Linked DNA regions of Solanum lycopersicum. The protein of the gene in region 1 interacts with the protein of each later gene in a pairwise test. Links are inferred from orthologs where the notes say so. Each region holds a gene or a part of one and is shown in the gene's direction. Other genes may lie near its edges.

Region 1 (8,164 bases):
TCAGTTGATGTGAGTTAAAAGGACTACATATTGGTGAAAATAATAAATACTATATCAATTAGAATAATAAATTTTAAAAAGTAATTATGTCACTATAAAATTTATTTACATATAAAATAAATGGTTAACAGATATAAATATGGGGTGTGTTTTAACAAAATATAAACTTGTGAATACATTTTCGTATTAAAAAAAATCTCAAATCATAATATGAAATTTCTATATCATGGTTTTTGAGGAATATGGAATCAACATCTAATGAGACGAAATCAGCATAAAATTACACATTCAAACACTAATATATTATATTCCCTCTATTTCAATTTATGTAATACTTTTCGTTTTTTGAGAATCAAACAATTTAAGTTTGATCGAGAATTTGCACATGAAATCTTCAATTTTTTTGGATGAAATATATATATTTATACACTATGTAAAAAATATTATAAATTACAATAATTAAGAATTTAAAATATTTAAAAAATATAACAAATTTAGTATCAAAATTTTACTCAATTAAATCATAAAATCCAAAAAAAATACATCATACATGGCCAAATATTTACTTAGTGCGAAGAGAAAGATAGTCAGTCCTCTTGGGCGGCCGAGAGTGTTATGTAAAAAGGACCAAGTTGATGATCAATTAATATGAAACGAGGGAGGGCGGAATATAGATAGCCTCGGGAAATCACGAAAGGCTATTTGCTTGGCGTGTGCGGAAATCAGATGTGTGACGGTTGATGATGCCTACTTTTCATACTTGCAGTGGTCCTGCATGTACAATAGATATCTACTTTTGGATACGTGATCTTCTTGTCCAATTGTGTGTAGCCACGTGTTCTATTTTGCAAGAAAAGACATTGTTGGTATATATGTGAGGAGACAGCTACTACTATTTACGAATCTTGGGTTCTAAACTGGAAAATACAAAAGCTTTTGTCATAGGACTAGTATTAATAATTATTTTCTTTGTCACGATATTTATTAGATTAAAATAATTTTATCTTATCTTTAAAAAATTTAACTTTTAATATTATGACTTATATTTTTTTATGTAATTTATAAATATATAAATTTTATTTTTAAAAAAAATTAAAAAAATTTATATATAAATTTTCATTCAAATTTAAGTTGTTTGATTCTCGAAAAAAAGGAAAAATGTCACAACAATTGAGATAAATAGAGTACTCCATCTGTTCCAATTCATATAATACCTTTTCTGTTTTGAGAGTCAAACAACTTAACTTTGATAGAAAATTTGTGTATGAAATTTTTGATTTTTTAAAAAAATGAAATTTATGTATTTGTAAATTACGTAGAAAGTACTACGAATCACCGGAATTGATTACTCAAAATGTTTATAAAATATTTGGAAAATTTACGGTAAAAAATAAACTTGTTTAACTCTTGAAATTCGAAAGGAGACATATAAAATGGGACGGAGGTAGTAACATAAGTTACAAAAATTAAAAATTTAATGTGCAAATTTTCGATCAAATCGAAATTGTTTCTCTTCAAAAAAATGAAAAGTTTCATATAAATTGAGACAGAGAGAGTAACATCAATATCAACAAGTATAGAGAATATATATATAGAGAGAGAGAGAGAGAAATCTTTTGGCTAGAAAATTTGATTATTTGGTCAAATTAGTAAAATAACATATTTTTTACTATGATATTTTTATCTTTTTGAATATTTTCATTCTTTTTAACTCTAATACCATAAATTTAAAAATAAAAAAGTATCAGATTATTTTACAGTAAATAACAACATTTTACACTTTTGAAATTTCTAGTCAAATTCTGGTTATATAGCATTATCTATCTATTTATCTATATATATATATATATATATACAAAAATATGCAAATACGTTAATGATTAAAACTATTTACTCACATGCTAAAAATAATTTATGATAAAAATATATTATGTACATATAATTTTTGGACAAATGATATTCATTTGACCATTTGGAGTAACATAGTTGTATCAATAAAGTTTTCAAAAGATTAAAAAATGAAGAGAAAGTACTACACTTAGGTATTTGATTAGCTAACTCTGTTTTGGAAAGCGACTAGTCATTATAATTGAGGAATCAAATGATTTTCTGCTGCTATTTTTCACATTACATTGAATTGGTAAGTAAGAAAATGCAGGACATCGTGTTTTCTTTATCAAATTAACTCCCTACACACATAGCCTGCGACTATAAAGCCTATCAATCAATTGAAACAAGGGAATGGAGTTGTTTGGCCTTGCTGAAAACTATGGTTATTAATCTGTCTTAGGAGTACGATTGTACTTTTCTTCCTTAATCAGAAGTTTTAAATATATTTTTTTTAATAGGAAGCATTATCTTGAATAAGGCTTTATTCTAACGAGATTGTTGTCTATAAATTTTCTAAATGTTGCCCAACTTATTGATTTTATTATAAAACTCATTAGTTTTAAAAAGTGATGTGTCAAAACAAAATGTCAATGAACATTCAATCTTTTCCTCTGAACTTCAAAAGGAGTTCTACTTTTTTCTTTATTGAATATTACATTTCTTATGTCCCAATTTTAAAATTTATCATAGTTGCTTCAATAATTGATAAACTTTACGATAGATCTAAAGATTAATGTTATATTAAATTTTTTAAAAAAAATATATCTAAAACCTTATACATACACTCTGGTCTTATCGTGCCACTTTTTATCTATGGAGAGTCAACTTAAATAACTTTAAAATTAAATTAGACTAAATAACTTTGGTATATTCTAAAATCATAAGTTGGTACAGTAGTTATTTCGGACCAGAAGTGGGGTAAGCAGCAATCGTGTTTTCAAAAATACTTTAGAAAACATAAAGAAAAGTAAAAAGGAGAGCACAAATGGATACTGAAATGGAACAGTGTTCGATTAAAGTGTAACGTATATACTCTCTCTGGAACTGAGCTAGTTGAAGAGCATGCCTACAATTGTGCTTCACGTGTGCCAGAAAGTTGGCTTCACCTGACACTATCACTATATAAAACCACTCCATCAAATTGAACTTAATTTAATTCGATAAAAATATTTTTGAATTTTATGATTTTAATTAAAAATTTGTGAAAGACCTATGGATTTTAAATTGATACAACGGAAGTAACAATTGTACTATTAACCCTGTCGATTTCTTTGATTTGGTTTTAGCAGTTTACCAACTTCCCTAATTCATCAGTTCTCAGAACCAAAAGTAGACCAGTCAAAGTCTAATCAACTTGCTAGTTTACCCCTACTCTGTTAATTCAATTGGTTTATTCACTTTAATGCGAATCCGCCCACTCTGCTCTATATGGTATGGTTGGCTAATAAATACACACTCGTTCGGAGCATATACCCAAAAAATGTCACCTACTCCTACATGTAAAACAGTGTGAACGTAGACAAAATTAACTTGATCTGCTCAACACTGAACTTGATTTTGCTGGACTATAATGGCCAACAACAATGTTTATTATCACAATGCTAATTTTTCTTTGACTGATCCTGATCCTGAACCAGATGATATTTCTGTGTTTCTTCGTCATATTCTACTTCCTTCTTCGTCTTCGTCTTCATCTTCATCTAATTTTATGGCCCTGAAGAGTAATGAAATGCAATATTCCTCATCATTACCTCATCTTATGCCTAATAATAATCAACAGGGTAATTTGTCATCCATGATGAATTCATCAGCTTGCGGCATTTTCTCGTCTTCCTATGGGGTTTGTAATGGTGCAACTACTGTTTCTTCCTCATCTGTTGGGACCATAGATTACGATCCGGATGAGTATGAATGTGAAAGTGAGGTATTTCTACATTTTCTACTTAATTCGTTTTGATTAATTAGTGTATTTAAGTTTTTATTTCCGAATTTGACTTTTTTACTTAATCCTGGTATATATATATATATATATTTTGTGATGATTTTTTTAATATGTAGGATGGTACAGAGGATTTGGGGGCGGAAGCTTCAGTTCAACCGCCATCTCGTAACACTTCCAAGAGAAGCAGAGCAGCTGAAGTGCACAATTTGTCTGAAAAGGTTTGTTTATTTTTTTGTTAATTAAGTTCATTATTGTCTGAATCGATGATTCCACGGGTTTAAATCTTGAATATGATTTACAGAGGAGAAGAAGCAGGATTAATGAGAAGATGAAAGCATTGCAAAAACTTATTCCAAATTCAAATAAGGTGAGGAGTTGCATGTCTAGCAATTTTGAATCGAGTCTTGAAATAAGTAAATAACATAAACTTTTAGCAATATAAAGCTTAAAAGATTTTTGATTTTATTATTTTCTGATGGATTTCTGGACAGACTGACAAGGCTTCAATGCTTGATGAAGCCATTGAGTATCTTAAGCAGCTTCAGCTCCAAGTACAGGTTTGCTGCTTCTGTTTAAATTTGCTGCATGTAATTTGTTTGGTATGATGGGGAGATAAAGATATTTTTTTAGAGGATAATATAATGTAATATTGTGTTGATTGGCCCAACTTTAGTGAAATTTAAAGTTCAGATAGTTGCAAAGAACATGTAGTGTTATTTGACTCAATTCAGTATATTTCCTAGATTGGTTCTAGCTGGTTATCTGTTCATTTAACACTAGTTGATTCGATCAAGTTATATGATTTATAGCATAAGAATGTACTTTGATCTGTAGATGTTGACAATGAGAAACGGGTTAAACATGTATCCTCTTGGCCTGCCACGAATGCTACAACAAAATCAACTCTCCCATCAAAAAGTAGGTTTGTGCGAGGGGAATGCATTCACAAATGCCAAAGTGGCTGGGAATCTACAAGTTAACCAAGACGCCTCGTTAAATGCTATTTTCAACCCAACTGAAAATTGTACAGAAACTAAGGTAACACCACCGATAACTATGTCAAATATAAACCGGTCAGACAGTGCGTTTGAGCTTGAGTCATCGATGAATATTCACCTTGATCCCTTTCAGCTCTCAAGATCTACCAGCAAGGTATGTTGGATACAAAACCTATTGGAATGCCATTTTTTATGAGGATGCAGAATTGCAGATTAAGGAATCAATTTATTTAACCATTTGACATTCACATTCTGTTTTGCGAAGGAAATTTGGAGGGAGGATGACTTACCTTTATATGGTATGAATGAGCTAACGACCAAAACTGCATCAACTGGTAGATTATTTGCTTGATATCCTTGCCTAGTTGACAACTTTTGCCTTGTATCCAGGTCTCTTTACCATTTTATATTTCATTGTATTATAGGATCAAATCTGGCATTCTCAGTTCCCCTAGATACGGATGCATCTAACCTGAAGAGAAGCACTCGGGAGGCCTGCTTGCTTCGATATCAGTTTGGTGCTGTGAATGAAACCAATCTGGATTGTGACCAACTTCTTTCCCAACAACTGTATAGGTAAGTGAACTCACATTATACCCGTGCTCTTACATAGCAATGATTTTTTTTAGTCCTTGTTCTATTGTTAGTCACTTTGGAAGTACTTATGTTGACATTATCTTAAGGTGAATGCAGCAACTTCTGAATTTTGGCCTGCATCGCCTTGCTGGATTTTGTTGAAGTAATGAGACATGCATTTTGCTGCTTAGGACGTTTAATGTTGTTAACTTTTGGGCTCACTAGCCACTGTAATGAATGAATGGAATATAAATGAAAAGATTGGACTAGTTTCTATCTTGTTATGAAATACGAAAATTACTACTAGGCATAGGATATGTTTCGTGATTACTATTATCTCATATGTGTCCAACTAATCTGAAGATGGTATGGTTGCTAGCAGAGACACTAAAGATTAGCATTATATGGATTCTAACAGGTACCTTAAATTAATTGGATCATTGCTATGATAATTTACTTCACAGTTGCTAACGTTTCTTTCATTCAATAATTTCATTTATGCCATGTAGGAGAAATGTTTACCTGATAAAACCATTATTCAAGCTATCTTGTTCAATTGTTTGAAAATTTTTCACTCGATGAATATGCGGATGTATTCACCTTAAATAATTTCACGTTGTTTGTCTTTTTTAATTGGCGTGTAAATAATGAACACTGAAACCTAAGTAAATGCCAAACATCGCCAGATTATCTAGATAACCTTTGGCCATAAATTGCGGATATTTTCAAGTTTTGTTTGATACTCACTCAAAACTTCAGAAAAATTCCAAGTACGTGTTAATTAAAAAAAGTTGAAGAACCAAAATTCTATTCTTATTCCGTAAAGAATGGACTGCGATTGGAAGAAAACTGTTGTCGATTGACTTGAAAGAGGAAGAAAAATTCTAGTCTAATCACTTAGTTTGAATCACAAAGAATAGGAAATATACTTTGAACGTGCCAATTGGGAAGGTCTCGAGACAATTTATACTTAATTTAAACTCTCTTAATAGAACTCTACCAAAAAAAAAAATTATTTATAGAAAACATATCATGTACAAACACTAGCTAAGCAAGTAATAATAAAAGTAGCAAATGCGTTAAACCATTTGACTTCCTTTCCATCGATTACTATTAACCATACGAATTTAAATTTTAATTTTGTCTCATTTCATTTCCCTATTATTTTTCGACGCATGGAAAGGCCTTGTTGGCTTAATGTTGACACTAGCCAAGGGAATAGACAAAAAGAAACTTAAGTAGTGGCCTTGATGTATTCCAACTTTGTAATTGGAAGAATAATGCCCACAAGTCCCCCTATTTCCTTTTTTGTGATGAATGAAAAAAAAAATAGGACATTTATTGGTCTACATTATGCAAAAGAAATTTATGATATTAGGGGACAAGAAAAGTAACAATGAAATTTCTATATATGGTGTAGCAGATTTGTATGACTAAATTATAATCTTTATAATAAAAATAATAATGAATCATTTTAATTTCAAATTAATTAAAATACTACAAATATATATATATATAGATTTTCTTTCAATAATATTATATTTTTTTCAAGTAGGTACATTTCAAATACTAACAAAGTAAAATAAAAGAGAGAATTTTCATAATTAATTTTAAATTAATTGATCACCTAAATTCAAAGTTAAATTGTGGAGAAAAATAAAGTGGAGGGAGGACCAAGTTGTTGTGTGGACTAGACTAGACAAGACAAGACAGTCCAATTCTTTGACAAAAGTGTTGAATACTTTGGAGTCCAAAGTAACCCAAACATCAATCCAAGCCGCCAGGCGTTAAGTGGAGTGCGCCTTTTCAGTATTCTCTAAAGTTAAAAAGAAGCAATGAATGAAGCTTTATTAAGTCCGATCTAATCCTTGGCGCTCTATATATTCTTAACAACTTCGTTTGTAACGGTCTCAACATATTCTCTCTGTTCTGTAAAACCGAATTGCTGCTAACCCTAGGATTTATGGCTGAAACTATACCTAATGGCGGGCCTGAGAGTGCCAATATTGATGGACCGACCAATCCTATGGTTACGCCTATTTTAACAGATCTCTATCAGTTTACTATGGCCTATGCTTACTGGAAAGCTGGAAAACACAATGAACGAGCTGTGTAAGTATTCAATTTCCATTTTTATTCCTCTTCATTTTCACTCTAGTTAGTTTCATTTGATGTTCTGATCATGATGTTTACTTCAAGCGGATTAATTTGATTGTTTGCTCAGGTTTGACTTGTATTTTCGGAGGAATCCGTTTGGTGGTGAATATACAATATTTGCTGGTTTAGAAGAGTGCATAAAGTTTATTGCTAATTTTAAATTTACTGAGGATGAGATAGCTTTCATCAGGTCATCGTTGCCATCGTCATGTGAGGTAAAGTTGTTATTAACAAGCAAATATGGAGACATTATGTGGTGAAAATCAAGATAGCAAGATTGATATCAAGAATGGTCTCTTTTAATGAATCTTTCATGATACGTTGAGCCCTTTGTGGGTGATTGGAAACTTTCATATCCAAGATGGACCACAACCCCATTCTTGATATCAATCTTGCTATCTTGATTTGCACCACATATGTGTTGAACTTTTTGTGCTGATATATTGAATTCTGCTATCTGAATTAAGATATCATGTGGTCATTTGTTTATCCTTTACTCCTTTTCTATTATCCTCTGTTTTTGGATCTTTCTAAGGGTATTATTCAAATCGCCTGTAAAATTTGGGAACAAATGCTTTCTTGATGAGTTTATCTTCCATTG
Region 2 (7,176 bases), on another chromosome or scaffold:
TTGGTAGAAGCTATAAAGAATTTATTTATTAAAGTTTGTGTGTTTAAATTGTGATAGTATAGGTTGATATTACTTGATTAGAACTTCCATAAATAGTTTGAAATGAGAGTTTGATCGCTATTTAGGTTAATTCTTCTTCTTTTTTTTTTTTTTTTATATAAGTAATTTTTATACGCTTAAATAAACATTTTGAATTCTGACCTTATAAATGAAAGATCTCTATTGACAAAGAGCCTTTCTCCTCACCTGACTCTATGCGATGAAAATCTAAATTAATCAACTAATATATAAAGAACAAATATTTCCTTTCGATGATATTTTTACAACTTTTTCTTGAACACTATGTTTTGAAAAATATAATTGCACAACATAAAAAATTACGTATAAATGAAAACGATTATAATTGTCAACCTGAAGATGCTGAATGCAAATTTTAAAACAATAATTTCGTAAGACGTACAAAATATTCAACGGGAATCTAGGGTTAATTAAATTAGTCATATATAGCTGCTTTCCATTAATTTGTTGCGTTGAATTAATATCCATGCAGTGTATAACATGCATAAGAAGTTCCTATTTAATTTTATTTGGTATAAAGATAAATCCATTTTAAATGCTTTTGAGTATTTAATTCAGTAGAGTATATACATGTAATTTGTTGGTTGAGTGATAACTAAATAGGTGCATGTTCTTTATATTTTTCAGGACCGATTAAATTCATAATCTAAGAAATGTTATTAATACATTATTTTTAGCATCTCGAGTTTGAATATGTGATTTCTGATTAAATATGAAAGTGACATGTCCTTTACTGTATTAGCACTTGTCGTTTGGGATAAGGTCTTTTCCTTAGAATTATTTTTTAAAAACACATATAATTTGTATCTGCCCGTTAAAGTCGCCATCAACCTCACTATCTTAAAATCTCTAGCTGCGTTCTTTTTTCTTAATTTTTTTTTGGGGGGATTATTTCATATTGAGAATTTAACTTACATTTATTAACTGTGGAGTGAATTATTTAGTAATCTTCAATAATAATTGTCTTCTATTGATTTGATATATTTTTTAAGAAATAATAAATAATACGGGTATTACTGTATTATCCTTTAATTTTATTAAATTTAATGCTTTAAAATATTTTTTAACTTTCTAAATTAGAAAAGTATTGTTAGATAACTATTTTTTAGTATATTGAACAATTATTATTAGACAGAGAGAGTATGACTAAACAATTTGACATGTTGATATATACGACTAAACTTTTAGACATTTCTAGAACATACACTTGGACCATTAATAAATTGACATATTGCGATCAAAATAACAAGCTTACATGAGAATGAACAATTACGAATCTTGATAACAATAAATTAGAGGACAAAGAAAATTATACCATGATCTATTTATGTTGCCTACTTGTTAGAAACTAATATAAAAAACATAAAATTTATTGAAATAATACTCTTTTCAAAATAAAACTCTTGAAACGACTATATTATGAACATAAAATGTTATTATGGTGTAGGTAGTTATTAACTTGAAAGAGTAAATATTTAAGTTTGTGAGGTAGAAAAGTGGAATTAACCGTGGGTAATTTATTAGTAGAGGTGTTAAATGTTAATGGCAGAAGAAATTAATTGAAGAAGCAGTTCACCACAGGTAAGTTCGTTAGCATAAAAACAGCACATGAAACAGTACTCCACTGCACAAGCTGATCCACCTCGAAATGCGTTCCAACCCCCGTACCCCCACCCTAACAAAGACTCAAAAACTTAAGTTGCAGTCTTATCATAATACCAGTAATAACCCCAATAGTAATAATACAACCACCTCTCTACCTCTTCCAAAACTTATTTTCACGTCATATATCAAAGACGGATTCAGAATTTCAATTTTAATTTCGATATACACATAACATAACTTATACATAATATTATAACTGTTAAAAAATAACAAACATATCGATGGTTAATGAGACGAGTGAAGTCTTTATAATATTTAGACAATCCTCCTTCCTTTGAGCTAGTTTTTGAGATATGACTCGTATGAATTAAACCTAAAACATAATTTAACATGATAACAAATAAAGTTTGTCGCCGACTTCACTAGCCGGCGGTGAGTTGACTTATTTCATTGAGGATTGGGGGGGGGGGGGGGGGCGGGGGGTGAGACCTCTGACTTGTGTCATGTGTATGTGGGGTATTAGCTAAGGTCTTCTTTATAACAAAGTGAAAATTTAAGCCAAAGTTAGAGTGATACATTTATTTACTTTTATTTAAATAATAATATCAGTATAGTATATAGTTTCATGCACCTGCATCAAAAACATTTATGATATCACTGCTACAGTTGGTAGATCTAAACCCTCCAAATGGTGGGCCTACCTACCTAGCCCACTCATCTTTACCTTCTCACAATATAAATACAATAAAAAATAATAATATCTTTTAAATTAGTCAAACAAATTAAATATGCACCTAGAAAGGTTAATTATTTTCAAGCTAATATATTACTAGTAACATAGAAGAACAAGCAACACGAACATTATCGAGAAAATATGATGAGAAATTTAGAGTTCGAGTCATATGAATAAAGTCGAATAGAATCTGAAGTAAAGTTTTGAGTTTATAAATTACTAAGAATGATATATAAGAATGTTTCAAAAGGTCAAAGTTAATGGATGTAATATCATAAAAAAATAAATTTTAATAATAACTATAAAATTGAAGCTAAAATTATAACATATATGCAACATGTAGATAGGGTAGTAGTACCGGCTTGCTTATTGTTAATGAAATACTTGGTTAATAATAATTAACTTCTTAAATGAAATATTATATTGGGCAATGTATACTAATAAACTAATATATATATATATATATATATATATATATATATATATATATATATAAATTCTGAATATAAAATAATTATAAATAAAAAGTTTGGAACCTTAAACGATGCGCTAGCGCACAATGGTAAACAAAGAAAAATGAGTAATGATTGTAAACAAAATTATGAATTTGTTGAAAACAGAGCTAAGCTGTAAACCTGCATAAGAATATTATTTTTTTGTATATATTTATATAAATAAAAACATTGAAAAGGAAAGGAAAAAAGTTTACCAACTTTGATGACATAATAAAAGTTGGTAATGGTATTATATTTATATTCTTACTGAATTATTTATCTGCGATAGCAGAAATATATATTATATATAAAAGAAAATATCAAATATATGTATATAATAAAATAAAAAACAATTTGTTATATATAGCCTTAAATTCCCACTTGAGCCTAGATGATCTGTTTCCAATATCACACTATTTTATTCCCCTTTCAATTTCTTCACTTCTCCCCCAACTCTATTAGCTATTATATCAAAAAACATACTACCAATAGTAGTACTACCATTTTCACTGCAATATTCTGATAAAACTCTCACTTCACTCTTTCTTCTTTCTCATTCCTCTGCTTCAATAACCCATAATTATTACTCACTTTTTTTAAAAGAGAGTGATTTGGACTTGCAAAAAAAAAAAAAAAAGTACTAGCCATGGATATTGATATGCTTAAATCATCAGCAACTTCTGAAGATCAAATGGAAATGATGCTCATGATGCAATTGGAGAAATTTCCTGAGTTTTCTACTGGTCAGTAACGTTGAATTGTGTGACTATCTCATCTAAAATATACATAATAAATATTAAACAAACACTTGTTGAGGCTTGTCAAAAATATAATTGTTATTTCACCTGATATAAAAAATTACATCTACAATATTTTGATAACTGATTAATTATATTATGTCACGACAGGTAATTGTTCTGAATTACCAATGATGGAGTTTAGTCCACAAGGAAGTTGCAACAGCAGCAACAACAGCTACAATTTCCAACAAATGGATCAAAATTCACCTAATTTTCTCAACATGCCTTCTACTATTTCATTCACAAACTCACCTCCAATTCATCAAAATTCACCTAATTTTATACCTAATTCGGGTGGATTTACTTCGATGAATCGAAGCAATATGGCAGCAATGAGGGAGATGATATTCAGAATTGCAGCAATGCAGCCGATTAACATCGATCCTGAATCAGTGAAACCACCAAAGAGAAGGAACGTTAAGATATCAACGGATCCACAGAGCGTTGCGGCGCGACACAGGAGAGAAAGGATAAGTGAAAGGATAAGAATATTACAGAGATTAGTACCAGGAGGAACAAAAATGGATACTGCATCAATGTTAGATGAAGCAATACATTATGTGAAATTTTTGAAAAATCAGGTGCAATCACTGGAAAGGGCAGGTGCAACTAGGCCAGCTAATGGTACTGCTCTTACTGCTGCAGCTGCAGGATTAGGATTCCCTGTACCAATGTCTTTGAGTGGGAACTATAATTTGCCTGTCAGTACAAAAAATTATCATCATCAAAATATTCAACAATATGCAGATGTTTAATTAACCAGTAGTATAAATTGAAGAAATTTGTGGGGTTGTAAATTAGAAACCATGCATGGGTAGAAGAATAATTTATACTATATATTATAACCATGGTATATAGAGACCCCTATTGATCTGTTAATAAAATTTTATGTTTCATGTACACACTCTTTTTCTATGTATAATTATTATCTAACCATCTATCATGAACGGTTATGGTGAGCTGGTAAGTATCTCTCACTCATTATTAGATATTTTTTGTATTTGAGTGTCTAAAATATAGTCATTTTTTAAAGAAAGGGATTTTACTGTTAAAACAGGATTGTATGACAATAATTCAGATTAATCAAGCTCTAAACAAGTAATTTTAGAGGAGAATACATGTTTCCTTAATTATTTTTCTTTCGGAATCCAAAAAGTTTTTTAAAAATTGATAATGAGGGGGAGTTAGACTTGAATCCAAATATTTATTTACTCATTTTAAATTGTAAGTGATTCTCATTTAAAATTTCTACAGTTACAAAAACATATTTTTATTTACTTAATTATATTTTTGACGCTCTTACTCCCTCTTATTAAGATGTATATAAAGAATTAAACTGAAATTATCTTTGTGGGTTGACAATGACAATAGCCATGTGCCAATTATCTTTGCAACATCTCAACGAAAAATCTTGAGAACTAGATATGTTATAAGATTTTGTTTTCTTTGTTATTTCTTGTCTATTTATTCTTGAAGCAATGATAAAATTATGGCCGTGTAATCTATAACTTATGAACTTGAATCGGAAAAAGTAATTACTAATGATTTATATTAAAATAGTCTATTTACATCATAATTATATTGCTATATAAATACAAAATACTTTATACGCTGAACCGTTCGACGTAGGTCTATGTGCAATTAAAGATGAGAAAATGGACCATTTAGAACTTGGTTGTACATATACACTCAAGGTCAAATAGCAAGTCATGCCTCTTGGAAAGACAACTTGTAGGGCCCTGTTTGAAAATACCCCCAGTTTTATTAGGGGTCTTTTGGTTCCCATTTTGAACATATTGTAGGGGTCGTTTGGTTCCCATATTTAACATTGTAGGAGTCGTTTGGTTCCCATATTTTTGAAAATGCAACAATTGTTGGGACTATTATTTGCCTTGGACCATCATATGTTTACTTTCTTGACGAATACAAAGCTAAAGCAACAGAATTGAAACTATTGGCCATTTTTTTCACAAGTAAACTATGCGAGGATCGTTTGATTATCCACTTTGTAATCATTTTTAATAAAGTAAAAGTTTAAATAGAGCTACTGAAATTCTCTGTATAACACAATTTTCACACTGTTTGTGAAAAAAAAAAGATTTATTCACGTAATATGTAAAGAACATGACGTTATAGACTTGATTCACAATTTTGTAGTTTTCTCTTCTTGCAAATTTCAATGTATATAGTATGGCAAACTCAAAGCTGTAAAATTTACTATATGATAAAAGTCAACTTGATATTTTTCAACCCCGCGTGCCTCTGCCAAAAAAATTGAAAGATAACATATCCTGAATATTTCATTGATAAAGAAATATAATTCACTAATTAATGAATAATAATTTAATTTTTTATAGAAAAACACTTCTGTGATAATGAATGCTAATATATAGTAGCATGTTTTATCATTTACAATAGAAATTGCAAGGTTCAATATCTAACTCTCTTGTAGTCTAACTCAAATATCACTTTTAAGTTAAAAACTAACTAGTAAATACCATATTGTTAATTTTCTCTACACATGAATACATGATATAGTGACGTAGAACTCATATATAAAGAAAGAAGAATCGTTCAAGCCTTATAATGAGGCCCAAGAACTTCCTTTTCATCAAACGCTACTCGTATTATCACGATCTTCTGAGTATATATAGCTTTTCATTGACCTCCTTGCGGTTAAAGTAATGCTTCAAACATGGCCAATTTCATGATGCAACGAGCACAAATAATTGACAAAAATTCTCCATTATATTAGGATAAGACCTAAATAAATAATAAAAATAACCTTCAAACAACTAATTAAACATTTAGATTTCAACTGATAATCACATAATTTAACATATTACTAACAACTTATTTTATCATCGCCACTTCAACGTATCTCTGCATCCTAATTAAAATATTGATTTAATGTATGGTGATATTTTCATCATCAGATAGTAGTATTAGATAAGACAATTAGACTTTTAGCAATTTAAATGAGATGATAGTACGGTTTAATAATATTCAATACTATAGAATATACATAATCTGCTAATAACACACGAAGGGAGAAATATATATTTATATCTAACATGTACTTAACGGATAATATATAATAATCGAAATTTAGACGATTAAGCTCATTATTATTATTTTATAGGATGGTGGGTATATTATAGAGTATAGTATTTAATTATGTGTGAATCAATTAATTAGAATGATGAAATTGAATAATAATAATAAGTGAAATAAAAGGAAGGGACAAAAGGATGAGGAAAGGCAAAATGCATGAGAAAACCACGTGAAAACACTGACAATATGCGGTGCTCTTTTATTTACCATTATTATTACTATTATTATTATTATTTATTTATTTACATTTTTAATTACTATTATTATTTATTTACATTTTTAATTAGCTACTCATGATGACGTCTTTTTTTTTAATCCCTCTTTGCCACGTGAAAAGAATTTATTTGGTCAA
Region 3 (7,947 bases), on another chromosome or scaffold:
AATATATATGACACATTTTTCTTTTTAGTCTGTCTTAAAAAAAATATCAATTTTTTATAATTAAAAGCACTTGAAAGATTCCCTTCGTAGTTCGTAATGAAGTTTCCTATATCCATATTAATGTCTAAGATTTATTTCACACCATAAACTTCAAAATTTATTTTTCTTTCTAAATTATTGTGTCTAATTATATTGTGTCACATAAAATGAAATAAACCAAAATTTAAAAAAGGATTGATAGTTCAAAAATAAGAATTTTAAGTTTGTGAATCCAACTACAGAAAGCGGATTCCTCTTTTCATAAACCTTATGAAATACAAATTTAAATTAATCAATTTTTTTTAAAAAATATATACTAATATTGTACCAAAACCATAATACAAAGATGGTAGGGCAAGTAAACGGAATATATTTATTAGGGAGGAAAGTAGAAGGGAATTTCTTTAAATAAATAGTTGGAGTATTAGCTAGCTAAGGTTTTCTTTTTATTTTTTCGGGTTTGGTTTTAAAATTTACGGTAAAGTTCTGATTAAGTTTAGATTATATAATATCTACTTGTGAGACGTTTCTAACAAGATTCTCTTCATAATCACAATTCAAATTTAAAATTTCTAATTATATTACAAATGAAACAATTCTATCACTACGACCCGACCCAGGATAGCTAGCTAAGGTTGTTTGAAAGAAAGATGGCATAAGAGATGGAGTTGGGTAAAGGTGAGGCTGGCGCACATGCAATTGAGCCTTTTCATTTCTTGTTTTTTTTCTTTTTTTGGGCCCTCTATTTATTCTCTATGCTTCAATAAAGCTTAGCACATGTTTTCTCCTTTGTCTTAAGACTTTCTTTAGAAAAATAAATTTTAAAATCCTAATTTGCCAGATATGTTTGTTTTTGGATGTTTTAGCCACAAGGGGTGGTAGGGGTGTGAAAATTTTAAAATAAAATTAGAATTAAAAAAAAGTGTGATTTAGAGTATCAATTTGAGAAGATGTATGTTGACTTTGGAATAGTAGTTAAAACTTTGGAGGAGTAATATCTTTAATACCTAATATCTTTGTCACTAAATTTTTTTTATTTTTCATTTACTATCTGATATGTATATTATCGTCTGAATTTGAGCTCTCATTTTGAAAAAAATATTTTCGATTAAATTTTTTTACATGAATCAAGATTTCTAATTAATTATCAAGAAAATAAATAACTAATCTAAGAAAAAGTTTCATTATGTCAACAATCCTTCCTCAACTAAATGGAGTTGACCTTAGATGCATCCACAAGAGAGTAGTACCAAGTATCATATATACAAATATTTTTTGGTGACATACAATTAGTATTGCTCTTTCTTAGATTTCATCATAAGACAAATTAATTAAGTACTAATTAAATACACCTTTTGCATGCACCAAACCCCATGACTTGTTGTTTACCTTAAATTGGATGTGAAAAAATTAAACCACGTGAATGTTCAAGTATTCTCTTATATAATAAGAGACACTTAGTGGTCAGAAACATCGACATTGATGTGCCTGCTTTAACGTCTTTTTGAAAAAAATAATATTAATATTTTTTTAAAAATTAATTAACGTATAATTTTTTTGAATTTATGAACTCTTTTTTAGCTAAGACTTTTATAATTCACATGCTTGTTTCAACGTATTTCGAAAAAAAATTGAACTTTTGTTTAACTTTAATTTAATTTGTGTATAATTATTTCAAAATTATAGAATTTTTTTCAGCTCTGACTTTTAGTTCTTCGTCGACGTGTCTGCTTCAACATGTTTTTGAAAATTAAAAATTTACTTCTTTTGTTATACATAATTTAATTTAGTGTATAATTTTTTCGAAATTATGAAATCCTTTATAATTATAACTTTTCAAATCGATGTTCCTCTTTCAGTGTGTTTCGAAAAAAAATCAAATAAATTATTTCTTTTGTTCTACTTTAATTTAATTAATGTGTAATTTTTCTCAAAATTATGAAATCCTTTTTAGCTGTGACTTTTAGTTTAAGTTCAAGATTTTACGCTGAAACACGCACGTCTTCGTCAACGTGCCTATTCAGCGTGTTTTAGAATTTCTTTTTAAAAAATAACTTTTTATTTATACTATAATTTAATTAGTTTATAATTTTTTTCGAAATTATGAAATCTGTTTAGCTATGATTTTTAGTTTTAAATTCTTATTCTTTAATTACTGCTTATTATTTTGAATGTCGGTAATATTTGTTATATCTTGTAACTATTTTGAGTAAAAAAAAATCACGATTGATGACAAAAAATACTTGTTATAGATATTTTAATGAACCTCTTCGCAATAAATTTGCTCAAACTAAAAATAATTAACCACTTGTATACTTAAAAATCATATTAAATTTATTTAACTATCTAAATAAAACATATATTTCATAAATAAAAATAAAATAATACTAAGATATTAGACCTGGCACCAATATCTAATATATATATATACACACACACATCATACTTAGACATTTACATTAAGCAATTTTATGAACGTTTTTTATTTGTCTCAGCAAAACTAAGATGCATGATTATGAGTTTATGACATGTATATAGAGTTAATAATGTGAAGATATATATCAAATATTAATTTTTTATATATTATATTTGAACTGAAATTGCAAGGTATATTTTGAAGATAGTAAACTATAAAATCAATTTCTAGCTTTGTGTTTAAGATATTCAAAATTTATAACACATAGAGAAAGAAAGTAAATTTAGCTAAGGGATAAAATCAAATATGAAGTATTTGCATAGTATATATATATTAATTAAGGGAAAAGATTCAAATATACAATCAAATTTTTAAATTTTTTTTTATATTATCCGTCAAAAATTTAGTTAATAAGGTTATTTTGTTAAAGAAAAGGCTTATTCATATCGTCCATGTCATTCTTTTAACTCCGATTTTATAAAACTATTTTTTACATTCTGAATAAGGTTTAACATTTTTCAACTGGAGTTTTTGAATCAAATGTACATCTTTTGCTTCTTTTTCATTGAAAACACATAAAATATATCGATAACTCTCAAATTTTCAACATCTTTAATTCTTTACGTAATCATCACAACTATCAACTATATGTGTTATCGTTCATTAAATTAGTGGACATAAGTTATGACCTAATTAATTCTTTAAGTTAATATATATTTGTTTATTTATCATTAGATTCGAGAATAATAAACAGAGCACAAGAATTAAGTCAGATAATTTAGGGAACATCTAGCTATAAAAGATAAAAGTTCCTTGGCTCTTTTCTTATCTTTTTGTTACTTTTTGCCTTTTTTTTTTCTTTTTAATTATTTTACCCTTTAATTAATTACTTTTTGTTTACTCATAAAAAAAAAGTTGTCATTGTTGTCTCCTTTAAAGTCTCATCATACTGTTTATCTCATAATTTTCAATTAATTATTACCAAAAAAAAAAGGAAAAAAACAACAATAAGTGGAGCCTAACAAACAAAAAGCAAACTCAAAAATAGTTGCCAACTTGCTTAATCCATTATTCCAACAACAAAACAATTTTATTTTATTTTTTAAAAATTAAAAAAATAAAAACCCTAATCAAAAACTATAACACGTCACTCATGACATAAACGATCCGACAACCCGAGCCCAACCCGTTTAATCATTCACTTCCACGTGGCAAAATCCTTGCCGTTTAATAAACACCTCAATTATCCAACACACTCTTCACATATTATTTCATATATAGCATGCTTTCTCATGCTTATTATACCCTTCTTCTTACACTTTCATATTCACATTAAAAATCTTTAAAAAAAAAGAAAGTATTTTTATCGTAATTCAGAAGAATTTTCACGTAAAATTTTTAATTCTCAAGAGAAGTATGACAAGCGTGTTGGGTGCGGAGTGTGACAAAATCCGATTGGATTATGAAGCGGAGACGGAGCTGAGGCTCGGATTGCCCGGAGCTAATGGGAATGAACTGGAATCGAGTAATAAGAACAATGGCAAAAGGGTCTTTTCAGAAACTGTTGATTTGAAATTAAACCTTTCTAATTCAAAGGATTCCACATTAATGGATAATATTAATATTAATCAAGTTGATAACATGAAGGAGAAGAAGAATAATATTGTTGTGCCAAGCTCTAATGATCCTGCTAAGCCACCAGCCAAGTAAGTTAATTACTTTTGTGTTATTCTTTAATCATGTTGATTAATGGTTCCAAGTAATTAATATTTGTTGTGGTAGTAATATCTTTATGGTGATGAAGTTTAAGTTTCTTGAGTATGCTTAGAACCAATAGTTAGACGGAGCTAGAAGCCTATATAAATTTGTCTCAATTTAATATAGTTTTCGTTAAAATAATAGATTTTAGTTAGAAATGCATTGAATATATATATAAATATTAGTATGTTTAGGTTCTATTAGTTAATAGTTGAAATAGTTATTTCAACACTCATAAAATTGAAATCTTGATTTTTTATGTAGTTCTTATATATTTATTGAACTCTTACAATATATATTGCAACATAAAAGGATTCATTTTCCTTTTTTTTTTTTTAAGTTTAATTGTCTCTTTTTATATATTTTTTGTTCTCATGCCAATTTTATTACTCCTTTTTTTTTTGTTGTAAATTACTTAATTTGCATTGTAGATCATGCTAATTGAATATATATCCTACTAATCTACGTTAGAGATCAAATATTGAATTAAGAAAGAATTTTGGGTATGCTACAATAATTTTTTTTTAATTAATAGTATAATGAAGGCGGAGCTAGACTTTTGAGTTAGAAAGATTTTTATAATTTTGTTCGAATTTTATTTTATATTTGTATTAAAATTTATGATATATATATAGGAAAAAATATTGTACTGTAACGTTGTTTCGTATAAGAGTATAATTGCTTTAAAAGAAATAATTCTTTTTTAAAAAAAATTATTTAAAATGGAAAAAAAAAAAATCTAAATGTTAGGTGTCAGTAGTGGTAACCTATCTTTTTGAGAATTTTGGAATTTAGGATATGGCTGTGGTTGTGTCTAGATGATGGCAGAAAAAACAAAACATTTGGAATCTTTTACTTTCATCACCCAACATTTTTAGTGGAAAACACATGGAACTTTTTATTTATTACTATAAACCTTTTTCAAAATGTAAATTAATTATTTTTATAAAAACAAATCTAGAGGTACTTTACAGAGTATTTCTTTGTTACCTTTTGGTGAGACAACGCATGTGTGCGCTTAAAAAGATAATTATAATTTCATAAATGCTACTCCTAGCTAAATACTTTATTATAAAAATTCTTACTTTATTAAGTTTTTTGAATTTTGGACTTTTACTTTTAAGATATTATTTATTTTATGAATTTTCAGTGCTAAATCATCATCATGAGTAAATAAATATGGGGATTTTTAATAATAATTAATTAAGTGCATGGGACTAATTAATTTTTTAATTATTTGCTTAACTTAGGGCACAAGTTGTGGGTTGGCCACCAGTGAGATCATTCAGGAAGAATGTAATGACTGTTCAGAAAAACACCACCGGCGCCGGCGAAATCTCCGGCACCGGCACCGGCGCAGCCTTTGTGAAAGTTAGTGTTGACGGTGCACCATACTTACGTAAAGTGGACTTGAAGATGTACAAAAGTTACCAACAACTCTCTGATGCACTTGGCAAAATGTTTAGCTCTTTTACTATTGGTAAATATTGATTCTTTCGTTTTAATTTATTTATTATATTATATTGTGAAGTTTTAACAAAATTTAATTTATTTGTCATATTATATTGTGAAGTTTTTAAAAAATAATATAGTAAATGAATATTATTATTATTGGGCATTTCATATCTTTGGTAGTGGGAAGGTTTTTGTCCATTAAAATTATGGAAGTGTATTATTTTTCTTTTCATTTTGTCTTGATGTGACAATTATTATTCCTTGAAATTTGTGTAGGAAATTGTGGGACTCAAGGATTTAAGGATTTCATGAATGAGAGCAAATTGATAGACCTCTTGAATGGTTCAGACTATGTACCAACTTATGAAGACAAAGATGGTGATTGGATGCTTGTTGGTGATGTACCTTGGGAGTAAGTTTCTAAATATGATAGTGATAAAATATTATATCTTTTATTTAGTTATATAAATTGAATGATTAATTTTATTTTCTTAATTTTATTATAGGATGTTTGTTGATTCATGCAAACGTTTACGGATAATGAAAGGATCAGAAGCTATTGGGCTAGGTAAATTAATACATTTTTTCTATTTTTTATCTCGTTACGTAAATATTAACTTTTTTCCTTAATTTTCTTTTTCAAATTATGTCACTAACATAAATATAATTAAACTTTATGCAGCACCAAGAGCAGTGGAGAAATGCAAGAACAGGAGTTAAACTTGATGTTCCAATTAATTGTTCATTGTTTTTTTTTTCCATGGTCAAATTATATATTGACCTTGGAGTTTCTAAATGTATTGTAATTTGAAGGGTTTATATATATAATATAAGGGGGAAAAAATTAAGAAAATGTTTATCCATGAGAAGAAAAAAAAAATATATATATATATATATAGATCTAAATAGTTGTCAAGTGTGTGACAGCCTCATATTGGTTGGAGCCCAATTTTGGGAATCTTTAGAATTTATATTATATTGTAAGTGTGGCCCTATGTGTAAGTGACACTTGAAATTATCTAATAAATTGAAGACAAGTAACATGGACATATTTAAAGTTATTGGGAGGCAAGGCCATGTGCTTTGCTAATGGGGACAAACTTATAGGGATCACAATTATTTCAATCACTAGTGTTTGTTGGGCATCAATTATTTATTTTGTGAGTGGCCAATTGGCCATACCCCATTATTTCAATTTGATACATTTTAGAGGTCTCATATGTCACTTCTTGTTATTTAGATGAATGCTCAAAATACATATTAAAAGAAATATAGAGATGAAAATGTGAAGGGTAGTTGCAATATTTTTCATTGGCTATGTTCACATTAATTCGAATCTATATTAAATTCATGAAATATATGTCAGATCTCGATCAATAACAACTATTTAATTATTATTTGTGATGATAACTTTGAGAGAAGGAGAGATAGTAATTGATGATGGCTTTTGAGGTGCAATGTATCAATACAGTGGAGTTATTATTATTGAGATATTTTAATTGATACCCTTTCATTTGAAAAATTAGGTTATACAAATAAGTAAACAAATATATACTTGTTGAATTTTTTAATATTTCTTTGTGAAAATATTATTACTTAGTTTTTGACATCTACAAAAGAGAAATTTCATTTCAGATAACCATATTTCTAGTAGACAACGTTTACCATGAGCTACAAGAGAAGTTAAGTTAGCAATTTTAAATATATCAAAAAGTAGCTAATTTAGGCTATGTTTTAAATAGAACCACTGAGTGGCTACCTTTTATAAGACTGTCTTAGAATTTCTGAAGCCCATTAATAGAAAAACTTTTTTAAAAGGCCCTGTCTAAGTAAGTTCATTGACCCATTGGGCTTGAGCAATGTGGTAAATCCATAGGATTTATTGATTAACAACTTGCCTTTTTTGATTAACAAATGCAAGTAAATTAGGTCTAATCACATTTCTTTTCTTTTTCCAATAAAATCCAACAATGTAAACAAGGAAGTAGTAATTTTATACAATAATAATTAAATTAAAGTTGTTTGCTTATATCTGGATCTTAAAATTTTGAGCATGACTATTTTGCCAACTCTCTTCAAAATCTGTGTCTCCAAAAAGAATGGTGATTTGAACATCTTATGTAACGCTTACCTTTGTTTATTACACAATAACTTAGTCTCTATTAATATTTTATGTTTATTGATGATAACAACACAATAAAATACAATGCAATGCAATATAATGTATTGTCCATAATACGTTAAGTTGATACACCAAAACAACTATGAAAATACTTATC
Region 4 (7,357 bases), on another chromosome or scaffold:
TAGTTTTAAAATATATAAAGATTAATGTATGTCAGACTACACATTAAACATAAGTTAGTTTGACCATCTATATTTTGAATCAAGTCAAACAAATTAAAAATAGATCAATAAAGTAATTTTTTAAGCTCTCTTAAGATTTTTTACACGCTTCAACTATCCTAAGTAAAACGTCCACGGTAATTAACCCCATACTTGTACGAATAACCATTGCACCCATGGACCTTATTAATTTCATATGACAATATAATAATAGACTATATATTACTCAAAATAAAGTGTGAGATGAAATTGGAAAGAGAGAGGTAGGTAGCTAGCTGTATATTACCCAATATGAGTCTAGTTAAGGCTGTGTTTTTGCTATTTTATGTTTCATTTGAGTGGGGAAATAGTTTTATTTATGAGTGTAACAAGGGCACATAAGATAGATTAGTGGGTACGTTTGTCTAAAGTAGTAATAAATTGGGGACAAACCTCTTTATCACGTGTGGGGTGTCATCTTTGTAGTTTCATTTCCTTGTCTAATTCTAAGGAAACATATGCTCGGTTGGAGAGTAACATATATTATCCTAAGGACAATGCAACTAAGTCTTATTGTTTTGTTCATCGATCCATACATAATAATTTCTTCCTTATCGATAAAAATGATTTATAGATGAATCAGAGTATATTGGTAATTGTCAAAAATGATTGTGTGTAGACATTAAAATTTTGTGAGATGCGTTTAATTCGAGTTAGGACTCTATAAATTGTGTTCAACTCAAGATCCCGATTCATGGATCTCTCGGTTCGAGAAATCAAAATAAGAGGCTCGAACCATTTCTTCTGACTCTTTTTCAAATTCGATAAATATTGGTTGATCGTATATTTCATTATAGTTCTATGATTCAGAGTATCCTTTCCTATTTGATCCCTTTGAATTCCATATTCGAAGTTGCGATCGGATCTATTCATTAAAAAGAATCGATTCAATACATTTCTTATGTACCCATAGGTACTATATTGGATTTGAATCAGATTTCGGATCAATCTATATTGAGTGACTGACTCCATTACGTTGTTGCTATTCTTAGAGGCTACTCAACTCTAAACCCTAGTTTATTCCTATATAAAGTGTACTAAATTCCCTTAGAAGACATCTCGAAAATTTCATAAAGAGATCAAGATTTCGAATACTCCACAAATTGATAGTTTGTTCATAAAAAGAGGTCATAATTTAAATCATCATAGTTCGAGAAATATGTTACTAATGGTCCTCGAATCATGAATAAATCTTAAGAGAGTAGAATCAAGGGATTAACACAATTGTACCCGCAATCTATCTAGATTAATAAAATTATGTTTCTTTTGATTTTATTTGTGTGATTTATCTATATGTTTAAAATTTGTTGCAAACAATGTGAATTAAGTAAAATTTGTTAGTTAATATTACATGATATTGTAGTTGAATAATAATCGGTCGTATCAATTATTATAAGATACGTGCACATGCAAGAGAATGTCTACTTAATTAAAATGTTGAATTTATATATTTGATAGAAGACCAACTATAATTTGTAAATAATTGACTAGACAATAGTTATATTTATGTATTAATTTCTAATCTAAGGGATTCAAAGTAAGATTTCTATGTCCCAATATTGCAAAATATTCTCATCGTGGTATCTTCTTGTTATAATGTAGTATAAACTGATTGTCTATAATTGGAGAAATTATATTCCTTTAATAACATGCTACTTATTATATGTGTAAATAATAATATTATCTCGCAGAAATTTGCCTTCTCTGCAAGAATCAAATATCCATATACCCTATTATAATTGGATATGTTCCTCAAAAAATTAATTGTCCGTGTATTAGAAAATTATAACGGAGACAAAAAAATAAATAAATTATGGTATTCTTTTTCGTAAACTATCATTTTTTTTCAAGAGAAATATGTGTATTCATTGGTTTCGAAATTGTCAATCCTAATTCAAATACATGACTATATATGTAAAATTTTTGAAATAAACATAACACTTAATTTAACTTAAATTTAACTGTATTAGTTTTGACAAAAGGTCACATTTGCCCCTTAACTAGTGAAATAGAATAATTATGCCCTCCTGTTTGATTTTAGTCCCAAATAGGCTCTTGTCCAATTAAAAGATTTGTTTAGCTAGAGACGAAATCATAATTTAAAGTACTTATGAATATGAAATTCTAGTTTTTTTTCAAGTTATTGACTTCAAAATTTATAATTTGTACGAATAAATTTCTTAAAATTAATGAGAGAGAAGGTACATAGGATCAAAGGTAAAGCAGTGCTTTCTTGCCAGAGTTTTAGGTGGCAAGAGACTTGGATTCAACTATAAAGAGAACCAGGAACGTAGGGCTTTTCCCCCTTCCGCCCGACTTCTTGTTCTTAAAAACGCTGGTTATAAGAATGAGTCATTGCCCTTCTCCTACCCTGACTGTCCAACCTGATAGCGGACAGTTATTGCGTTCCACTTATTAAACAAGATTCTATTGTCAATCACGTAAATAGCTTTTAAACCAAACTTGATTCGGCCAATCCATAAGTTACCCAATATAAACCCGTATATAAAATCTGAAGAGATTAATATATACACATACCTTATCCGTACTTGCAAAAATTTTATCCCAACTCGAAATAATTACATGTATATATGTACCTTTATTTGCACGCGTATATTAATGTGTCTACAAACATATTGGGAACACTTCATCACATGGCATGTCTTTTGTTAACCATATCAAACGGTCACAAGTAAATCTCCACAAATTATTAATGTTTTAAATTACATACCTAACATATATATTTTCCCTACCTTTGTATCTCATGTGACCGACCATTAAGTTTAGTTTACCTGCCATTGTCTTCTCAATTATTTATTTCCTATATATACTCATAAACACACACACTCATTTTTTCCATCAAAACAACAATATATTAATTTTCCAGTCTTCAAAACATAATACGAAATGGCAACAGAATTGGAAATTACTGAGCTAAGATTGGGACTTCCAGGAGGAATATTGGAGAAAAATGAAAAGAAAAGGGTTTATTCGGAAATTACTACTAGTGATCGAAACAGCAGCAGCAGCAACAACAACAACAACGTTGAGGCTAATAATTACAAGTGTCAATACAAGAACGAAGTTGTTGGTTGGCCTCCTGTGTGTGCTTACCGGAAAAAGAACAGTTTTAACGGACGTGAAGCTGAATCCAATAATAAAATGTACGTCAAAGTTAGCATGGATGGAGCACCGTTTTTGAGGAAAGTTGATTTGAGTACTCATAAGGGTTATGATCAACTTGTTATGGCTCTTGAAAAACTCTTTGATTGCTATGGAATTGGTTAGTATTTCAGTTTTCTATATTAACATGCATTTATTTAGGCAAAGTGAAATTATTATTATTGAAATGTACGGTTACTGTACTATACTAATAAACATAAATCGAGCATCTTTTTCATAAATATAAGCAATTTAATTGCTAGTGTTATATATGTTAAATTTGTATTTAAATGTGTCAACAGGAGAAGCATTGGAGGATGCAGATAAGTCAGAGTTCGTTCCAATCTATGAAGACAAAGATGGAGATTGGATGCTTGTCGGCGATGTTCCATGGATGTAAGTATTTCACTTTCTCTTTATGTTCTATTCGAGACGACAGATTCAGAATTTTTATTAATTTAGGAACATATTTAATATAATACTTGAGATTTGAATTTTGAAATTGTCGACTGAATTTTAAATTCAGTCGACCTCTAATCTTATGTTAAAAAAAGTTCAAATTTTATATATTAGTAATTTTTTAACGCGATCTGCCCCTCGGGCACCTTATCCCTAATTGAATCTTCTTTAATTAATTGTAAAACTAAACTAATTAATGTGTTAAAAGGGGTGTAAAATTTAGCTTATAGTACATAAATTGACCAATTTAGTCAAATTTAGGTGATTTAAACTAGCATATATTCACTGATGGATCAATTTTGTCCTTTTTAAGGCATAGATCAAAACATCATTATGCCGATAAATTAGAACATTGAAACCCGATTAAATAGGGATTCGTGCCAGGAAGGTTAAAACTTCCTAACAAAGGCAGCTTTATACCCAAGACAACTAAAATCTGAAACCTCTTGGTTAAGAATAAATTACTACCTACCACACTATAACAACCTTGATCGGTTACTCATCAAACATTTTGTAGTGTTAGAAAAAATCAAAAGAAGTCGTATTAATTGGAATTTGATTTAGCAGAATGTTCAGTGAATCATGCAAAAGGCTAAGGATCATGAAGAGATCAGAGGCAAAAGTGATAGGGCTTGGAGCAAGAGACTTTCTCAAGGGAATGTCTCAAGAGAAATAGAGTGGATGATTCAAGCTATATTTTTACATTAATATATAATTGTAATTGTAATCTTAGGTGTGATAAGACACCCTAGACTTAAAATCAATTTCTGATTTGATTTCCTCTTAATTAGCTTAATTATTGTAGTAATCAGTACCTTATTTGCTCTTAAATGACAATTTTCGTATGTATAATAAGGCTATATGTGTAACCAACATGTTGTGCTGAAATTGTGGCTACCATCTAACTTTCCCTTTGTTTCAATTTCATATCAATTGTCCACGTTACTAAAAAGTTCTTTTTTTACATTATTTGTATTTCTATTTTCCTTATCTTTTTTAAAAAAATTTATTTTTTCTAGCTAGTTTTTTCCTTATCTGTTCACCATGTTGAAGTTGGATTTATCAAATATCTATAACTCGATTAAGGTGAACAATATAATATCGAGTAGACAATTAGCATACACTAATTAGCTATACATATTCATGCATACTTATGTAAAAATGGAAAGATTCCTGTATCACTCCAACACACTTATAAGTCCAATGTATTTTTTTCTTGGATCATTAAATACTGATGAACCTTAATTTTTATTTTTATTGGGGGGATAATAAAGCAGTGATATACCATATGAATATACTTTTGTTTCACTACATATCACAGTATTCAGTGTGGAAATACATGCACACGGACTAATTCTTACTTCCACCGAAATTAATATCCAAAAAAAAAAAATTAATTATCAATCAAATCATGTGTTGCGAATATGTAATTATTCTAAAAAAAACTTCATAAGAATTAACCATAGAGATCACCTATGAATCACGTAAAAGGTAGATATTCATTTATTTTTAGAGAAACATTTCAAATTTGAGTTATGAAACTGAAATCATTTTTATATAAATTATATAATAAAAGATATTTTACCTATATGAATCTGAATTAATTGAGCTCCAAAAATAAATAGGAACACTATATTTTATAAAGTCCAAAGAGTGTATTAATTTGGTAGATACAGAATCTTCAACCGATACATAATTTATTTTTATATTAATATATCAACTAACTAAACTGAAATATTGGCCCATAATCAGCATGTAGAGCTACGTCCGACAAAAGGCATTGTTTTCGTTGATGTTCGGGAATAACATCTTTTAAATAATCCAATATCACATTATTATTAAATTCATTACATTTTTATGTGTTAAAAATCTACACGTAAATATAGTAACATATATATATAAAAAAGTAAAATAATATAGCATTTAAGGATTATACTTAATGTTTTTATCTAGATATAATTAATTTTTCCTCCTAAAAAATATGTGGCTCCAGTTGCATAGCCATTCTGTTGGACGCCCTTCTTCAAAAATTATATTGTATATATAAGTAAAGTAATAAATAAAGTGGCTAAATATTTTATTTTGAATATCCTTAAAATAACAATATAATGCAGCATAGTGTATTGAGTCGCGTACTTAAAATACCCATGTATTTAAATTTTACTGTTAACAACTTCTCTTTTTACTTTTTTAAAAGTATGTTCACTTTTAACACTTAAACACCCTTCGTGAAATTTATCTCTCTGAAGTTATTACAGATAGTTGGTAAGTAAATACAATAATTTTTTTTTACCATGAGATTCGATCTATAATATGTTCAAATAAATGAGAAGCGTGGAATATGTCGGATTTTGAGAGTACATATACCTTCTCAGATATTATTATTTATTAATTGACAAATGACCACCAGACAATTCACTTATTACACATTTTATATCTACGCAAAACGTATACATCAATTGTTTTCATGTTTACTTTTTCAGCATCAAATCATTTCAATACTTTACCTTTAATTTTCTTTTACGTTTTTCAATTATATTCTCCTTCACCAACTTCATTGGTCCATAAAAATACTTCCTGCGTTTAATCTGGTCTAATAATAATTGTTTATTATATTATTTTAAATTTTTAATAATATTTGTCTATTTTATAAAATTTAATGAATAATTCATAGTTAGTTTTTAGTTTATTCTTATTATTAGTTATAATAATTTATGCATTACACTTTTTCGAATATTGTATTTATTGATTTGTTATATCATTTAAATTTTTTTAATTATATTATCTTTTAAAAATTACGATGAGAGAGAATTAAAAATAATTGAGAGTGTAGTTGTGTTATTATCTCTTCAATTTATTAAAATACCAAAAATAATTAAAAAATAATTTTTAACAAAAATACTTGAATAGTATTGTCCTATTTGAGCAATACCCTCTTAAAACGAAAAAGATAATTAAATTGAACTCGTCCTTAATTGTGAGTTTGTGACTCAACTAATGTAGCATTAGAGGCAAAGCTAAGTAGGGCTTAGAAGTTCATATGAAAATTACTATTGAAGATGTAGCTTATTTGTGTGTATTTGTTTGAAATAATTTTTAAAGTGACAAAAAAATAGATTACAATCACAAATAAAATATAAAGAAACATAATTTTATTATTAAAACTTTGAGTACAAACACAACAAAATAAGTGTAAATTACATGGCGATTTTTCTTGAGGTTATATGAAAATTTCAAGAAACTTGTTTTCCAGCATATTTTCATACTAATTTCTAGGAAAATCTCCATGTAATTCACCATTTTCTTGTAGTGAAATATGTTGATCCCTTGATCCTTCTCTCTTAAGATTTATCCATGATTCGAGGGTCATTAGTGGTGTATTTTTCCGAATTAGATGATTTGGACTTATCTTCACAATTCGAGGGCCGGTAGTAACATATTTCTCGAATTAAGATGATTTGAATTTATAAATATTCCATGAATTTGCAAAATATTAGTTTTTTCAAGAGAATATAATATCCATTAATACAGGCATGAACTATTTCTAATATTGAACACACCTTGTAGAGTCTCAACTCAAATTAAACACGTCTGGTAGAGATCTTACAAAATTTCAATTTCTATAATATCATTTCATATTTTAAAAACTCTCTTAATG

The links.
Region 2: the proteins of SPT (region 1) and transcription factor HEC2-like interact in binary tests that used the Arabidopsis thaliana proteins (3 or more experiments, as listed by UniProt). The link is inferred for Solanum lycopersicum from reciprocal best matches to the Arabidopsis thaliana genes SPT and HEC2.
Region 3: the proteins of SPT (region 1) and IAA16 interact in binary tests that used the Arabidopsis thaliana proteins (3 or more experiments, as listed by UniProt). The link is inferred for Solanum lycopersicum from reciprocal best matches to the Arabidopsis thaliana genes SPT and IAA16.
Region 4: the proteins of SPT (region 1) and IAA19 interact in binary tests that used the Arabidopsis thaliana proteins (3 or more experiments, as listed by UniProt). The link is inferred for Solanum lycopersicum from reciprocal best matches to the Arabidopsis thaliana genes SPT and IAA19.

The regions. Positions count from the first base shown.
Region 1 is NC_090801.1:70,521,616-70,529,779, forward strand, and holds SPT (transcription factor SPATULA), read left to right. Parts: upstream 1-3,330; 5' UTR 3,331-3,460; coding exon 3,461-3,814; intron 3,815-3,948; coding exon 3,949-4,050; intron 4,051-4,133; coding exon 4,134-4,199; intron 4,200-4,323; coding exon 4,324-4,389; intron 4,390-4,666; coding exon 4,667-4,984; intron 4,985-5,095; coding exon 5,096-5,165; intron 5,166-5,255; coding exon 5,256-5,406; intron 5,407-5,513; coding exon 5,514-5,517; 3' UTR 5,518-5,523; coding exon of another isoform or gene 5,524-5,533; 3' UTR 5,534-5,846; downstream 5,847-8,164. Other genes in the region: nicotinate phosphoribosyltransferase 2, read left to right, coding at 7,370-7,518, 7,631-7,778. UniProt on the Arabidopsis thaliana protein: Transcription factor that plays a role in floral organogenesis. Promotes the growth of carpel margins and of pollen tract tissues derived from them.
Region 2 is NC_090803.1:65,278,330-65,285,505, forward strand, and holds transcription factor HEC2-like, read left to right. Parts: upstream 1-3,293; 5' UTR 3,294-3,556; coding exon 3,557-3,653; intron 3,654-3,818; coding exon 3,819-4,465; 3' UTR 4,466-4,610; downstream 4,611-7,176.
Region 3 is NC_090800.1:84,050,539-84,058,485, forward strand, and holds IAA16 (auxin-responsive protein IAA16), read left to right. Parts: upstream 1-3,756; 5' UTR 3,757-3,871; coding exon 3,872-4,161; intron 4,162-5,463; coding exon 5,464-5,693; intron 5,694-5,944; coding exon 5,945-6,080; intron 6,081-6,174; coding exon 6,175-6,236; intron 6,237-6,350; coding exon 6,351-6,388; 3' UTR 6,389-6,705; downstream 6,706-7,947. UniProt on the Arabidopsis thaliana protein: Aux/IAA proteins are short-lived transcriptional factors that function as repressors of early auxin response genes at low auxin concentrations.
Region 4 is NC_090802.1:65,644,825-65,652,181, forward strand, and holds IAA19 (IAA19), read left to right. Parts: upstream 1-2,939; 5' UTR 2,940-2,985; coding exon 2,986-3,361; intron 3,362-3,542; coding exon 3,543-3,636; intron 3,637-4,266; coding exon 4,267-4,375; 3' UTR 4,376-4,558; downstream 4,559-7,357. UniProt on the Arabidopsis thaliana protein: Aux/IAA proteins are short-lived transcriptional factors that function as repressors of early auxin response genes at low auxin concentrations.